Linked DNA regions of Macaca mulatta. The protein of the gene in region 4 purifies or fractionates together with the protein of the main gene of each other region. This does not show direct contact. Links are inferred from orthologs where the notes say so. Each region holds a gene or a part of one and is shown on either strand. Other genes may lie near its edges.

Region 1 (3,930 bases), on a different chromosome or scaffold from region 4:
CACACGTACGTTCTTGGAGGCCAGGAACTCCATGCCATTGGCCACCTGGTAGCTGAAGCCCACAAGGTCCATGTAGCTTAGCACCGGAGACTCATTGATTAAAGTTGCCCGACAGGTCCTCTCAGGGGCTGGAGGAGAAGCAGAGGGTCACCTGCTATCTTATGTCTCCTTTTGGCCCACAGGACCCCTGCCCTTTGGCTCCTGGGAAACTGAATGTCCAAGACAGGTGGCTACTCATCGCCTAGGTCCCCCCTAAAAGGAGAATGATTTCTTAATATTGAACTCAAAGTTCTCCTGCTTTATCAGTGCCCTCACTGGCCAGAAACACTTTTGGCATTAGCTCTTGGGCCACTTTTGCCCAGCCCTTGCCTGCCTGCCTCTCAGGGACACTAGACCAGCCTGGGGCCGAAGCTGAGTAGATCACTTTCCCTAGCACCACAAAAGGCCAGGTCCTCCCACATCCCTGCTCTCTCCCTCCCTGTGGGTTCTATGCATGTTTCTGGACCCACAAACAGCGGTCCACTACAGAGCAGTTTTTGCCAGGTGGCTAGCCTCAATTTCCACATCTATGAAATGGGCACGAGACTCCCTTCTTCCCAGGGTTTTTGGCAAGGCTGGGCATGTGAAGAGCATCAGCCTGCGTGGGTGTGGGGTACTGTGTCCACCCACCAGAGGGAACGTAGTTATCGTAGGGGGCCATGTAGTTGGAGGACTCGATGTCGGCATATTTGACATCTCCTTTCATGTCCAGCATGGGCACGTAGTCCACCGACTCGTCCTTGCTCATGTCCATGTAGCCACCATCGCTCTCCCCAGTCAGGGACACGTGGCTGGGGGTAAAGGAGCATCACAGAAGAGCCTGGAGGCTTTGCCTTCCCCTCCCCTCCTGCCCCTTGCCACTCATGAATTTCTTCTCTCACACACTCACTCATCCTTCAGGCTATCCCAATAGGAATGCCCATGGATCGACCCTTTTCAACCAACCTGCTGGGCCAAGCTGGGCACTGAGGCTGCCAAAATGACAGTTAGAACCCACAGAGCTCACACCCAGAGGCGATGACAGCGCCCCAAGGCAAAGGTCACAAGATGGGTGTGTACAGAGGCGCCTTCCTGTGGCCTCCCCAGCGCCACCTGGCCACAGGAGTGCCTGGCTGCAACCCAGTGTGGGCAGCCAGGAGTCACCCCGATACCTATGCCTGTAGCGTCAGCTCCCCAAAGGGCTGTGGGGCTCTACACACATGTCTCTACGGGCAGGAAAAAGATGGGAAGGAAATTGATCAAAACATTGGAGAGGGCAGGAGTGAGCTTTACAGTCTTTTACGCTTTTCTGAAGCTACTCTTGTCTTTGTTTTTGTAATCAGCAAAAGAACTAAGAAATGTTCTTTTTGGAAAAGATGAAGAAAGGAGTTGAGCTCCCTAAGGGGCAGTGTGGAGGCTGGTGTGTAGAGGCTGTAGACAGGAACACAGTCTGGAGCACCGCTGCGCAAACTGGGAGCTTGGCTCTCGTCTCACCACAGCCTCTGTCCCTTCCTCCATCACTGCGTGCCCGGGACTGAAGGGCAAACACCCACGACACAGGGATGGCATGTCACATGTGTAGAGGGCTTAGCAGCACAGGGCCTGGCATCACTGTTATTCCCTCATCTCGGGTGGGCCACCTTCTAGAACAGCCCTAGCTCCAGGGGTGATTCTGTTCCCTGCCCTGTCACAGCCTCAGCTTCTCCTCCCGGACAAAGGGAGGGGAAGGAGCGGTGCTCCTCAGGTATCCCAAAGATTCAGTCCCTGGCCTCCCTCCTGGTACCTGGGCAGGGGGAGCCCAACGGGCAGCGCATTGCTGTAGAGCTCCGCGCTGGGCGGGCGGCGCTTGTCGGAATGGTGCTGCAGGAACGTGTGCTTGTTGCGGTGCAGGTAGTCCACCAGGTCTCCGTAGCGGCAGTACTCAGTGATGATATAGATGGGTCCTGCGGAGGGACAGGCTCAGGGACAGTCCCTACGGAGGCCTCGGGCGTCTCCTCAAGGCCACGAGGCTAATCAGGGGCTGGATGTGGGAGAGACACTTTGGCATGACGGCTAGGAGGCTTCAGTGCCTTGCAAATCTGGGTTCTTTTCCTGCCTCTGTGGTAGAGAGCAAGGTACTGAGTCTCCCTGAGCCTTACCTTCCCCAGCTGTTAAGTGGGGTAATTAAACCCACCACAAAGCACTGCCATGAGGATTAATGAGATGATGTTTTTATTGGCTGGGCACGTGGCAAGTCTGCAGTGTTGGCTCTTATTGATATGTTTTCAAACTAAAGCTTACTTTGGAGCCCAGTATAGAAAGCAGATAAAGGCCACTGTTTACAATAATCACTTCAGTAGTTAAATTCAACTACAATGCATTTACTTAAAGTCAGTCAGTGAGAACTTGAAGATATCTACGCGAACAAAAATTTTGAAATGAGTGATCATTGCGGACGTGAATAAGTCTATGTACCCAACATACTTCTGTATTTTGTTTTGGTTGCATAATGCTGAGGAAAATCCCAGATCTCACAATAAGCAGCTGCAAATGGTGATAACGTTTTTTTTTTCAGCCTAACTGGCAATCAGAGCTTCAAATAAACACAGTTGGCCACAGAGACTTTCTTCTATGATCAAATAAAGGTAGCTCCCAATTAGCAAGCTGGTGGTCTCCAATGGTGGGCGTATAACGCATCTTAATGTCATGTGAGCTGTTATTTATTGGTTTTCAAAATGTGTTGTAAAAATAAAAGCATCAGCCAACACCATGGTCTGGAAGCTGCTGGGACTGGTGACCCGACTAATCGTTCAGCCGAGAAGGTGTTGTGACGTTGTGAGTTTCTAAACCCCACTGCCCTCTGGGACCGTGCAGTGGGGGCGCTGGAGTGGGGGGGCACGGACCCTCCAGCAGGAGTGTGCTGTTGAGTGAGGCCTGAGGAGGTGGTAGGCGGGGCCTGGCCTTGGTGGTGGGCACTTTCCCTGAGTCCTCTGGGGCAGTGGGTTCGGTACCTCCTTTGGTGCAGGCCCCCAACAGGTTGACCACGTTCAGGTGGGGCCCAAGGTGACTCATGATCTTCAGCTCCGACATGAGGGCTTGCTTCTCACTGCTGCGGGCTGTGGCTGAGGAAAATGGGGGCCCCAGGGCAGGCCCAGTTATGGGGGCTCCACGGAGGCCCCACCACAGGAGCCTATTCTGACTCTTCTGCCCCGCCCTGTGCTGCAAGACTCATGCAGCCTGGCGGGGGGTGAGCACCCACACTGTGAGGAGGGGAAGAGGCCAGGGTAGGGGGAGGCAGCCCAAGGCGGCCAGGGTGAGGAACCCTCTTTCCCAAACCAGACTCGGGAGCAGCGCCTGCTGCAGTGTGATGGCCCCTCTTGTGCCTGCTAATCAGCATCAGGCCACCCTGGGAGAGGCTAAGTGTGTGGGGAGGGGCAGGGAGAGGTGAAGGCCCAGATGTGGAGGGCTCCAAGGACTACTCACATTTAAGCATCTTGACGGCCACTTTCATCGTGGCCTGAGAATGGCTCAGGCCATGAGCCGTGGCCTCCACCACCTGCCCAAAGGCCCCAGAGCCGAGGGTGCGTCCTGGTGCAGAGATGATCCCTCAGCTCCTGGCCTACCAGGAAGCTGCACCGCTCCCCCCGCTGCCCCCTTCCCCCCGACCCCCCGCCCCGCTGCCACCCTTCCTGCCCAGTGAGGGGAGAGAGCCACTCTCTTAGGTCAACCTAGACATTACTTAAACCACCTTGGACTCAGGGTATTCCCTAAACACACTCCTGCAACCACAATGCCTCCCTGTCTTTCCTGGCATCTCATCTAAGTCCTGCCTGCTTTCTGCCCCATCTTTAATCTCTGGAAAGTTTCTTCCCTCCCCAAGGAAGCACGCTCCTCTGTACCCCCTCAGCTTCCCCAGCCAGACCCGGCCTGCCA
Region 2 (3,930 bases), on a different chromosome or scaffold from region 4:
TTAAAATTTATTCAATGACGACTCGTATTAGTGATATTCATGTGAGAAGTACATGGAGGAGTTAACTAATTATTTCTTCATATATCCAGTGTTTGCCATGGATCATAGTTGTAGCAAAAAGTAAATTCAATAAATGACTTTTTTTATATACTTTCAAAGCATTTGAAGTTCTGTTTAGTGAGAGAACTTTAGTAAGTATTTTTAGAAGTATTCATCAGCCATAGGGCCAATGAAAAACAAAATCACTACAAATAAGAAATGTGGACATAGCAGGAGTTCCAAATGAACTTCCCTGGAAGAAAAGTGCCACTCTGCTGGTGGGGTGGGGCATTTCAAAAAACAAACACAATGTTAGCCTTGACATTTCATTTTATGTTTAAGTTTCTTTTATTTTGTACCATTAAATATGTATAGTATGTAGATTTGTTGTTGACTATAGCAGCCCCTAGCCATATGTAACTGTTAAGGACTCAAAATACGGCTAGTATGATTTGAAATGTGCTGTAAATATAAAATGCACCGTGGATTTTAAAATATTTTATAATGGTTACATGTTAAAATATTTTGAATATTAATAAGTTAAATAAAATAGCATTTGGTTTTGTTTTGTTTGAGACAAAGTTGTCCACTTGTTGCCCAGGCTGGAGTGCAATGGCACAATCTTGGCTCACTGTAACCTCCGCCTCTTGGGTGCAAGCAATTATCCTGCCTCAGCCTCCCAAGTAGCTGGGATTACAAGTGCCCACCACCACACCCGGCTAATTTTGTGTATTTTTAGTAGAGATGGGGTTTTACCATGTTGGCCAGGCTGGTCTCGAACTCCTGACCTCAGGTGATCCACCCACCTTGGCCTTCCAAACTGCTGGGCTTACAGGCTTGAGTCACCGTGCCTGGCCGGTTATTTCTTTTTACCTTTTAAAAATGTTGCTGCTAGATAAATAACTTAGGTAGTTTGCATTATATTTCCATTGACTACACTGGAGGAGAGATTTCTAGGTTTTTTTCTAGAACACATATTACATCTCATCATTTGCCACTCGATTTTTAAACAGATGCAGCCTCGTTTCCACCTTTTGTTGAGAAGAGCCAAGTATTGCAGTTCTTTTCTTCCGACATTTGCAGGTAAGAGAAAAACTGAAGTATGTCTGAGTCAGACCCCAGGTGACAAAATGCAGACCAAGAAACTTTATTATTTTTCTCAAATAATGATTAAACACAGCATAGAAAATTCATAATGTTTATTAACTCTGCAAAATATTCTTCTATATCTTCCAATTTTTAATAGCGTAAATCATTTTTTTGCTATTTCTATCTAAGCAAGAACCATTTTGCCTTTTTGAAACTAAACTAGTAGTCTAATAACAATGAAGTTCAGAAGGGTAAGTCCAGTCTTTCTAAAGACATACAGAGAAGATGATGCAGATGTAACAGAACTGTGTTCATGTGCTCTGCTCAAATTTGTGGGGCCCAGTAGATAACCCACGAACACTGGAGCCTTTACCACTACCCTCAAGCCCAAGCTCTGTCCCTAAAGACTGTATGATGGTGGGTAAGCATTTAACATCTCGGATTTGTTTTCTTATCTGTAAAATTTAAGACAGCAGTATTTCTTCATATAGGTGTATCTGGGGATTAGAAAAAAAATGTGTATTGAACCCTATGGTTCTATACAAGTAGACACTTGGTAAATGATGGAAATGTACCAGGTATATATCCAGCATGTATATGCACACACTCCAGTGAGTGGTCTTTCTCTCCAGGACTAATTAAGCTGTGAAAGAAACTTTATTTCATTTAAACTGATCACAAATAAAGTATTTGAAAGAAGTGCTATAAATATTTACTAACTTTGGTATAAATAAACATGGTACTTCACAAACAAGAATAGTTCATACTTGGGTATTGAGTTCTAGTATGTGTTAAAATTTCCCAATCACTTTTTTTCCTAAGAATGAAACAAGAATTTAAGATAGAGTGTATGATGTTTGTAAGGTAAAGCAAGAATAAGAAAAAATGAATCTCCAGAATGTAAGTTCAGGTTCCTGGAATGCAGCTCTTTTTTCTCTGTATTTAGGTCAATCTATGCTGTATTTGAATCCGACGTTAATCTGAAAGGAATTCCTGTGTATAGATTTGTTCTTCCATCCAAGGCCTTTGCCTCTCCAGTTCAAAACCCAGACAACCATTGTTTCTGCACAGAAAAAATTATCTCAAAAAATTGTACATCATATGGTGTGCTAGACATCAGCAAATGCAAAGAAGGTGAGTAAATATCCTCAGCAGCACAGTCCATATCATAATTTGTGATATTCTTTAAAATGAGACCTTTACCACAATCCCTTTGCAAGCAAAATTTAAAATTAAAGTAAGAAAGTAATTAGGGCAGAATGGTGGCAGAAAATTTTAGTGCTGATTTTGTATTTTGGGAAGGTCCCAAATATGTGTTTCAGTGTTACAAAATTTAGTTAAAACCACACTAGCATTTCTTTGTGGCTGCTTTTAGATTTAGGGTGAAATGAAAATAATTCCGAGAACACTTTGCGCATCCTGTTATCCATTTGTCATTGTTCTAACTTTTTTCACTAGAAAATGGTACAGGTAAATGTATTTTCAGTATGTATCTAAAGCTAGAGTTAAACATAAAATTTGGAGGCTAGCTTATACTGTACATATTTATCATACTAACATGGGTGTGGAGGAAGAAAAAAAAAAACTACTGTTAAATAAATTCTTAGTCCCTAGACATATTACTGCCTGAAAGCTGAACATATATAGTGGAAACTTTGGGTTCATCAACAAAACTCTATATATTGAAAATTAATACTGAAGGGGTTTACAGTAGAAATCAACTGATATAATTCTTCCCCACCCATGTTAAAAACAAAATATGTATTTTTTTTTTAATTTAAGAAGTTTTAGTTTTATGGAAATATTTTTTGAGTTATATATGAAATGAAGGAAGCTATTAATTCCAATTGACTCTTAAAACTTGTCTTCAGGGAAACCTGTGTACATTTCACTTCCTCATTTTCTATATGCAAGTCCTGACGTTTCAGAAACTATTGATGGATTAAACCCAAATGAAGAAGAACATAGGACATACTTGGATATTGAACCTGTAAGAAAACACATTATTGATCTGATTTGGTTGCTATTTTAAACAATACAATTGAAATAAAAATAATCTTGGAGATAACACTAATCATAGTTATTGAATCACATTCTTTTAAGTTACTGAAACTTACGTCGATTTTTTCCTATTGTTGTTTATGAAGTGATTCTAATTGGCTTAAAATATTTATATAAAATTATGCTTATGAGGAGTTATTGTATATTACGTAAAATTCAAAGAGTGAGTGTATGTGAATTTGACTATACTTATTGTTAAAATTTATAAAATTGTTATAGCACAACAGTTTTAATCTTTATTTTTGTATTTTCCTTTTCAAAAAGTAAATGAAATTCTAGAATTTTACTAGTCATGTTTTAGTTTAAACAATGACACAAGTAGTATTATAACTAATGATACATGGATTCTAACAGCATATATATTTGACCAGGAATTATCTGAGATCTTATATTTTGTTGTTGATTTCTTTAAACCATTTCAAGTAAATCACAAATCTAACTAAAACCTTGACATTCGATTGGGCAAATAAATTGTGTATCTATATGGATGCGTGTGTATATAAATATAACTATATAGAGAGTTTTAAAAGTTTCAAGTAGTCCTGTTTAACCTTAAGTTACTACCTTCTCTTCTGCTGTAAGAAAAATAAGTTTTGAATAGTATAAAAGAATGTTTTAAAAAGTTGGTAATTATTTAGTTGTTCTCTTTTTAGATAACTGGATTCACTTTACAATTTGCAAAACGGCTGCAGGTCAACCTATTGGTCAAGCCATCAAACAAAATTCAGTGAGTCTCTTGAA
Region 3 (3,930 bases), on a different chromosome or scaffold from region 4:
AAGAGTTGGTAAAAGGGCTCTGAGTACTAGGAGCTCAGAGTTAAAATGTAGGCAACGGGAAGCCACTATCAGCTCTAGCAAAGGGAGTGGGGATTCTTTCAATAGCTGTGAGTAGGAAGGATTGGAATAGAGAAATCTGGAGATAGAAGACCAACTGGTCCTCTGGATGAAGTGACAGGAACTTAACCATTGTGATAGCTGTGGGAATAAAGAAGAAGGGAAAGAGCCGAAGGATATTGTAGAAGAAGAATCCATGGACCATGGTAATGATTTGGATTCAATAGGCCAAAGAAAAGAAGTAAATACATTCTGATTTACAAAATAGGCCAGTCAAGCATCAGCCCTTAGTAAGTTTTTTATTTTAAATGAATCAACTTGAAATAATTGTCCCTGAAAAATATTTTAATTATCTGACCATTAAGGTAAGGTAAAGATATCTGCTACACAAAGAAACTGGATTCCTGCATAATACTTATTAATAGACATTGTTATTCTTGATTTCTTAAAAACAAATTTCTATAAAAACATTTCTAGAAATACTTGTTTAGACTTGTTACATAAACTTTTATCTGGATGTGTTACTATCAGAATATAATAATAAAAATAACTAGGAACATATTCAGTGCATAGATCTATTTTATATATATTCATAAAGGACTCTATAAAAAATTTTAATTCAAATTTTTAAAAATTTCTGGAAATTACATAATGAAGACCTAGGTCCTTTAACAAAATAAGAGTTAAGATACTGTAGAAATAAAAAGAAGAATGCTGAGAAAAGTCTGAAGACTAAAAGTGTTATTTAAGTGGTTAATTTACTCTTAGTATGGTGTTTTCCTTTTTCATAAGCTAAAGTTTTTCTAAATTGCTTTAATAAAATTGTAATAAGATAAACATTACCAAAGAGCAGAAAACAATACACACACACATGCACACATACATTTTTGGTGAAAATCACTATATTTCCACAGTCAGAAATTTTTAAATTTTATTGGTCATTCAGGATGAAGATGGCAAAAATAAAATGAAACAAATTAATTTTATAATGAGGTAAAGATTCAAACTGAGCATAGTAAGGAATAAATCTTTCATGCCCCAACCAGGTCCTCTAGTCCTTCAATTATTATTATTACTAACTATTGTCACCAATACCTTAGAAATCCTTCCAGAGATATGCAAAGCATCGACATACAGGAAGATTATTTTGGATAGCAAGATGAACATGGGAAAATAATTTTTTTTTCACTCTACAGTTAGATCTTCTTTTTTTGGGTTTTATGGGAGGAAGTGAAGAAAATCAGTTGAAAAATAAAGAGAATGGGAATTTAAACCATAAAATCAGAGACTATAAGTAAGGAATTGGATTGTGTGCTGCAACTGACAAGCATCTCACCTATGAATTGAAATTGAGAAGAGGAGGAATGAAGGATGGAAGCCAAGCAAAGTCTGTATCTAGGATGAGAGTGGCAACAGAGGGGAGGGTGTGGCATAGCAAATGTGAAGACATGTCAAGAAATAGGGTCTTAGTTGGTATGAAATGAGCAGGTAACAAAGAAAGGCTGGAACCCAGCATAGCAACCATGGCTCACATGCAACACGAAAGGAAACTGCAACACCAACAAGGATCACCATCTCCTCGGTGCGTCCTACCTCATAGCTGCGCCTATCCTGGGAGGTCAGTTCAAAGCAGGATTCTTTCTTGGAATCTCTTCGCAGGTGGGGGGCCATCCGAACACTGTAGCCCTTAATGAGGAAGGTCCCTTTGGGCTGCTTGCCTGCAAGACAGGAAAGCTCCCTGTATCCCTAGAGAGATGCAACTGCCAAGGGAAGGCATCTTCTCTGGTATGTAAAATAAAAGCACAGAAACAGCTGTTACATCCCTGAGGAACCACAATAGTCAAGGAAAGGTTATTAGAGAAGCTGAAGAAGAGGCTACTGCGACAGTAAGGCAGATATCACTGCCAAGCTAGGGAAATGCAACGTGAAAGGTTATTTTGCCAAAAGAGTACAACAGAGACAGAGAATTTATTAGAATGTTAAGAGATCTATAATAACAGAAAGAAGGAATTATTACAGCAGGGAGAGTGTGGCTGTAAATGTGAGGCTCTTGAAGGCTATTATAGAGCTGAAACATTATTATCAGGGCCAGCAGAGCTCACATTTGAGGGGAGGGACAGCAGCACAGGGGGGCATTATAAGGTCCCAGAATTGCCTCCCATGCCCTATGTAGCATTTGAGCTAAACTTCTCTCCCCCTTCCCTGCTGGTCAGGTGGGAATTTATGCTAGAGGGAGAATGATTAAAACTCAGTATTTATCCTCCTTGTAAGAGGTCAACCTGAGAAGTAGCAGAATAATGTTGAGTATTATTAGATGACGAGGAAGGAGACAAAAGGAAAAGGACCCTAAGTGAAGAGAGACTTCTGCTTGTCACTACCAAAAAAAAGTGTTAGAAACAGAAAAAGAGGAGGTGGCTCTCAAGAATTTTTGTCCTCATTGTGTGGTTCAGGCAGAACACATAGAGAACAGGAACCACAGTGTCTGGGATGCTTTGAGCTCTATATCATGTGAAATGAATTGCTTAATAAATGCTTTTTGATGATGATAATGATGAGAAGGATGGCAGTGTGCTGACAATATTAAAAAAGAAAGAAGAAGAAAAAAGACTCTGTCCTCACCTGGTTAAGCTAAAAGAAATACACAAACACTATTCTTACTAAGAAAATGTCATGGGCACAATAAGAAATAACTGGCAAGAAGGGAGCCATGGAACAGTGCTTTTTGACACCAGAATCTTTTTTGTTAAAGTATCTCTCCTTGTTCTAACCGGCCACTAAAATGTTTTGTTGTTTCTTTGGTCACCAGATTTTATTTCACCCTGATGGCAAAATGGTCAATAAAAGCCTCTGAGTCTCTTGCTCTTACTGTCCCCCCTCCTTTCTCACCGTGAGTATGGAAGATTCTGAATGAACAGATGTGACACACCTGGTTTTATATCTAGATATGCCAACCACTTATTTAAATGCAAAAGAAATGATGAACATATTTACAGTGACAAATGGCATATTAGTTTGAAGGTTTAAAATAAGAAAAGAACAACTGGCTGGGTTGTATGCCTATAATTTAGAGGAGAAATTGTGGTTGCTGGGTTTGAGAGCGGGTTGGGGGTTGGAAGGACACATGGGACTTGTAGCTCAGTTTACAAACTATGCTGTTATTCTTTCCAAACAGGGCTTTAGCCTTTGCCCCTAGATGGGAAAGGTTCTGAGGGATGTAGGATGGTGAAAGGTAGGCAAAGGTCTGTGATAACTACTGCAGGCAGGGAGGCAGCATGAGGCAATTGCTACCAAGCCCAAGGGCAAATCTTAAGGATTTCAAGTAACTTAGCAAAGATTCAGTGTTTTAAGAAAGAGTCTCGTTCTGTTGCCCAGGGTGGAGTGCAGTGGCGTGATCTCGGCTCACCACAACCTCCACCTCCTGGGTTCAAGCGATTCTCCTGTCTCAGCCTACAGGCACCTGCCACCATGCCTGGCTAATTTTTGTATTTTTAGTAGTAGAGACGGGGTTTCACTGTGTTGGCCAGGTTGGTCTTGAACTCCTGACCTCATGATCTGCCTGCCTTGGCCACCCAAAGTGCTGGGATTACAGACGTGAGCCACTGCGCCTGGCCCGAGGCTGTATTTCTTTCTACTACCTTAGTACTGCAGGTGCAGGAAGTACAAAGGCAACTGGGTGGGTGTCTGATTATTCCCTACATTGGATATCCAGGCACTGGGAGAGGACTATGTTTGAGGAAGGAATAAGAAAGGAGAAACAGAAAATGACTGCAAGGAAAAAAAAGGCTCTACTCAATCTGTATCGCTGGCCTCTGTTCGAAGGTGCACAGCACAAGAAAGCCCCAACAAGAATTGATGCTTTTTTTTTTGAGACAG
Region 4 (4,416 bases):
TTCTAGATTTCTATTTAATTCCCATTAGCCTGTAAGTTTCTTGAGGGCAGTGAATGTGCCTTGATAAGTGGCAGTGTTTGGCAAAGCTGTTCAATAAAAGTATTTACTCTGTATCTTTTTTCTGAGCACATGGCTAAACTACATTTCCCAGGCTCCCTTGCAATCAAATGTGGCCATATAACTAGCCCTCAAGTAAAGACTGTGAGAGGAAGTGATGGTGTCACTTCCAGGCTAAGGTATTTCAAAAGTGGGTGTGCCCCGTCTACTCTCTCTGTTGCCCCTTCTGTAAGCTGAAACAGGTTCCAATGGTAAGCTATGGGATGGTGGAGCTAAAAGATAGGGGTGTGGGACCCAGAATCACTGCATGGCAGAAAGCCACCTACAGATCAGAAACATGAACTTTAGACTATTAAATGAGCAAGAATAAACATCTATTGCTTTTGAGCCATTATATATTTGCAGGCCTATTTGTTACAACTGCTAACATTAGCCTAATTGATACAGGTGTTGAACACGTACCAAAGACCTAACTCACATTTGTTGATTGTTAAATGAAACAGAGTACCCACTAAGATAAAACTTGGTAGGAAACAAGATAAATAAGATAAGGTTCCTTTTATCAATGTGCTGACCAACTAATGGTGGAAATAGACTCATGCCAAACGTAGTAACTGCTGCCAAAGTTTGAAACCAAAATATGATGATTTGTTTGGAAAGGAGAAGATGGAAACGGCTTCACAGAGGAGATGACATTTGAGCTGGGCGCCAAAGGTTAAAAAGGACTTCAAGGAAGTCAGATGGGGTTAGAGATCGCAGACCCAGGAGAAAGCAGAGTGTGCATTTGCTCACATTCAACCTTATCATTAAGTCTCTCAAACTTGGTCAACAGAGTGCGAGTTTATGTGCTCTGGCTTTCCTTCCTGGGTCCGGCATCAAACAAACGACCCTTTGTTTTCACAGTACACTCATTAACCCTATTGCTTTTTTTAATGTAAAAAGCTCCACGATTAATGTTCTTAAAAAGCACATAAGTAAATGTTTCACGAATCATAACTCTTTTCTAATAAAATTACTGAAAAAGAAACCTACAGTTCTGTTACTTATAATAGTCGAGGAGCCATACTTTTAGGGAAGAACGGGTTTCACTTAAGTTTTGACAATATCGATTAAGCGTGTAATAGTCACTGGTTTACAAAACGGAACATTAAGCCCCCAGATTTACATTAACATTTCCTCCTTAAAAAGAACATCAGATGGTTTAGACTTCAGTCAAGATTCTCTACAGCCCCAGTTCATAGCCAAGTGGCCCCAAAGCCTCATATAGTTAAACCACTTCCTCCAAAAGTCTGCGAGTCCCTTTATCTGAACACAGGGTAACCATGGAGCAGGGACTGGGGAAGAAGACAGTACAAAGGGTGGAAAGTATTGCAGTTGCTTGGGTGGTGAGAAAGGAAGTGGGCGTCCCAAGACTACCTTGAAGCAGGCAAAAGACAGTCTGCAGTGGTCTTCCAAATGCTAACTCTAGACCGTTTTATCCACGTCCCCAGGTATTTACTTCAATAAAAGGGTAAAACAACATCACTGGGCTGACAGGATTTCATTTCAAAAGACATCAGCACAGTGACCTCTTAGACTTGATAGAAGAAGCCAGTCAGGTTGCCTCCCCCTTATCAAATACCAATTTAATTCTGATTCAGAAACAAAATTCTTGTGACCCCCACACCAATTTACTCTACCCCAGCTCTTAGTACTTGTCCCCAAAAGAAGAGGGGAAAGAATAGGGATAGGGAGGCTACCTTAAAAGTAAAGCAACTCTTAAGACTGCTGGAATAATTGTCCCCTTAAATCTAAGAAACACTGCAGCTGCCAGTCAACACTACTGGTCTGTGAACACAGCAAAATGCCGACACCTGCCACCCGGCATCTGGGGGTTCTTTTATTTTTTGGTAAATGTGGCAGGAAAGACTCAGAGAGACCAACTGCTTCATGGGAAAGAAAGGGAAGCCCCAGGGAGGAGAGACAAGAAGCATCGTGCCTATCCTAGGGTACTTTGTGTGTCTCCTTTCTATGCACTGAAAGGGCTCTTTGTGTCACACTCACACTCACACACACACACCCGGCGAGTCTGTGTGATTTATTGGGGGAAGGAGGGGCAAGAAGGGTGATTTTATTATCCATCTTCCCAGTGAGTCCCAGCACATCTCTCCCTGGGCCCAAGCTCGGTGGCCTCCTTCTGGCCCAGTCCCCTCCGCCTGTGGCCGCAGAGATAAGAGAGGGGAGGAGCCCAAACAAAAACAGCCATGGATCTAGGGAAGTAGAGAGGAAATCCAGAGAGGGAGCCGGAAAGGAAGGAGAAAGGAGCTGGAGGGAGCAGAGGGGTGAGGGACAGAGGAAGAGAAGGAAAGGCTCTAGCACAGGGGAAAGGGGAAGGGTGGGTGGGTGGTGGCACAGGAAGAGTGAAGGAGAGGATGGGGGAAGTGCAAGGGAGGTGCCAGAAATAGGCAGGAGGATGGGTTGGAGAAGGCGACCGCCGCCGAGGGAGGAGGCCGAGAGGTGGAGGAGTGGGGCAGGGGTTGGGTGGGGAGGGAAGCAGCACGGGGCATCAATTATTAAGTGATTACATCATCCCTGACATTAAAACAACACACACAGCCCCAGTCCCCGCTGGGGGCCCCGAAAGGAGGGCGGGGGCGGAGTCTGGGCCAGCCTCACCCCCAAGCCAATTCCAATTTTCACTCGGCGCCCGCTTGCGGGCGAGGAAATGGGGCCCCCATCCCCGCGCCGCCTCGGAGCCGCACCCCGCAGGGGTGTCCTCGGGTGCAGCCACGCGAAGACCCCGAGCGCCGACTCCCCAGCAGCCCCGCGGGGCGCCCCGGCGGCCGAGGGACCGCAGCGCCGGGCCCCGCGGCGGGGGCGGCGTGCGCGGGGGCGCCGGCGGCCGGGCGTCTCCGCAGCATCCCCGAGGCCTCTCGCGGCGCATCCCCGCCGCCTGCTTACCTGCGCGGCGCTCAGGCTCCGGAGCCCATTCACATGGTCCTCTCCCCGCCCTCCTCCGGCGCGGCCGAGGCGGCTCCGGGAGCTCCCCGGCGGGCCCAGGAGCCGGTGGGCCTTCCGAGAGCACGGAGGGGGCGGCGCCGGGGTGTCCCCGGCCCGGCGGCCGGATCCCTCCCTGGTGCGGGCGGCGGCCGCCGGGCGGTGCGACGCGGGCGGCGGCTTTGTGTGCGCCCGGGCGGTCCTCGGTGCGCCGGGAGAAGCGCGGCGCGCCCGGGCGGGAGAGGACGCGCCGCTCGCAGGGCAACCTCGCCTCTACTCTCGCCGCCGGCCGGCGGGCGGGTCTCGAAGGCCTTCGGCTCGCGGCGACCCCTCCTCCTCGCCCGCGGCAGCCCCCTCCTCGCCGGCTCCGCTCCTGACAGATGGCGCAACTGCAACGACGCGCCGCCGCCACCACCGCGGCTGCTCGCTGCTACTCTTGCTGATGCTCGGCCCCTCCAGCTCCGGAGGGGAGCGAGGAGGGGGCGGGGTGCGCCCCGAGAGTGACAGGCCCCGCTGCCCTATCAAGGAGCCCCTTGGGAGCTGCGGGCCTCAACCATTGGCGCCTGGGGCGTGGGCGGGACGGCAGTGGGTGGGGCCGCCGAGTGGGTTGAGCGTTACTGTGGCAGCGGGCATCCCAGGGTGCGTGCGGTGCAGGGTGTGCAAGAGGATGCGAGGTTGGAGGAGGAGGTCTGTGTGTTTTTAAGGATTGTGTGGAGTTGTGAGGTGGCGGAGTAGGGCGGGAGAAAGAGCGGAAAGTGTGAACTGCAGTTTCTGCTTTGCGGAAGGTTGCAGCTGCTGCTGCAGATTGACACCTGCCATTCCCCCCAAACCATGGGAACCTGCCTCGAGACAGGGCTATCTTGCCTTTCTGGTGTCTTTTCATTTGAGGGTGAGAGGATGAAATGGAAAATTGTCTGGACGGTGATAGCAGCGTTTTCTTTGATCAAACTGAAAAGAGTAGCGAACAAAGTAGAATCCTGTCACTGAAACGTGGAAACGCACAACAAATAACAATGAGGAGGAGAAGGAGATTAGGATCATTTTATCAGTCCCCTATTTCTGGAGACACTTATTTATATTTCTTTTCTAGCAAAAGTCTAGAGGAAGTATTACTGAAATGGGGGGAGGGGCGAGCAGCGACTAAAGAACCTGAAATCACAGAGATTTGTTCGTACATTTCCCCCCACAAAAAAACCTTGTTTAATTGTAGCCATTGGTTGTCTTTGGTTTCTTATGACATTCAAACCTCTCATGTTTTTTTTCCCCTTCACAGAATCTGAGCTTTTGCTCAGATTTCCCTTGATGAAATAATTGCCGGTTTAGTATACAGTTGGGAGTGCATCGGTCTTTATTTCCTATCCAGCTTTTCTATGGCAGGATGTA

The links.
Region 1: the proteins of FYN (region 4) and PDGFRB purify together in Homo sapiens (pull-down; 3 studies listed by IntAct, with this or other methods). This does not show direct contact. The link is inferred for Macaca mulatta from reciprocal best matches to the Homo sapiens genes FYN and PDGFRB.
Region 2: the proteins of FYN (region 4) and CD36 purify together in Homo sapiens (affinity purification with western blotting; 3 studies listed by BioGRID). This does not show direct contact. The link is inferred for Macaca mulatta from reciprocal best matches to the Homo sapiens genes FYN and CD36.
Region 3: the proteins of FYN (region 4) and SKAP1 purify together in Homo sapiens (affinity purification with western blotting; 3 studies listed by BioGRID and IntAct, with this or other methods). This does not show direct contact. The link is inferred for Macaca mulatta from reciprocal best matches to the Homo sapiens genes FYN and SKAP1.

What each region holds. Positions count from the first base shown.
Region 1 is NC_133411.1:159,091,065-159,094,994, forward strand, and holds part of PDGFRB (platelet-derived growth factor receptor beta), read right to left. Parts: intron 3,586-3,930; coding exon 3,481-3,585; intron 3,120-3,480; coding exon 3,009-3,119; intron 1,962-3,008; coding exon 1,802-1,961; intron 831-1,801; coding exon 670-830; intron 129-669; coding exon 10-128; intron 1-9. UniProt on the Homo sapiens protein: Tyrosine-protein kinase that acts as a cell-surface receptor for homodimeric PDGFB and PDGFD and for heterodimers formed by PDGFA and PDGFB, and plays an essential role in the regulation of embryonic development, cell proliferation, survival, differentiation, chemotaxis and migration.
Region 2 is NC_133408.1:138,809,465-138,813,394, reverse strand, and holds part of CD36 (platelet glycoprotein 4), read left to right. Parts: intron 1-1,052; coding exon 1,053-1,122; intron 1,123-2,074; coding exon 2,075-2,262; intron 2,263-2,999; coding exon 3,000-3,118; intron 3,119-3,842; coding exon 3,843-3,916; intron 3,917-3,930.
Region 3 is NC_133421.1:61,830,300-61,834,229, reverse strand, and holds part of SKAP1 (src kinase-associated phosphoprotein 1), read right to left. Parts: intron 1,776-3,930; coding exon 1,651-1,775; intron 1-1,650. UniProt on the Homo sapiens protein: Positively regulates T-cell receptor signaling by enhancing the MAP kinase pathway. Required for optimal conjugation between T-cells and antigen-presenting cells by promoting the clustering of integrin ITGAL on the surface of T-cells.
Region 4 is NC_133409.1:16,943,166-16,947,581, forward strand, and holds the start of FYN (tyrosine-protein kinase Fyn), read right to left. Parts: upstream 3,071-4,416; 5' UTR 2,998-3,070; intron 1-2,997. UniProt on the Homo sapiens protein: Non-receptor tyrosine-protein kinase that plays a role in many biological processes including regulation of cell growth and survival, cell adhesion, integrin-mediated signaling, cytoskeletal remodeling, cell motility, immune response and axon guidance.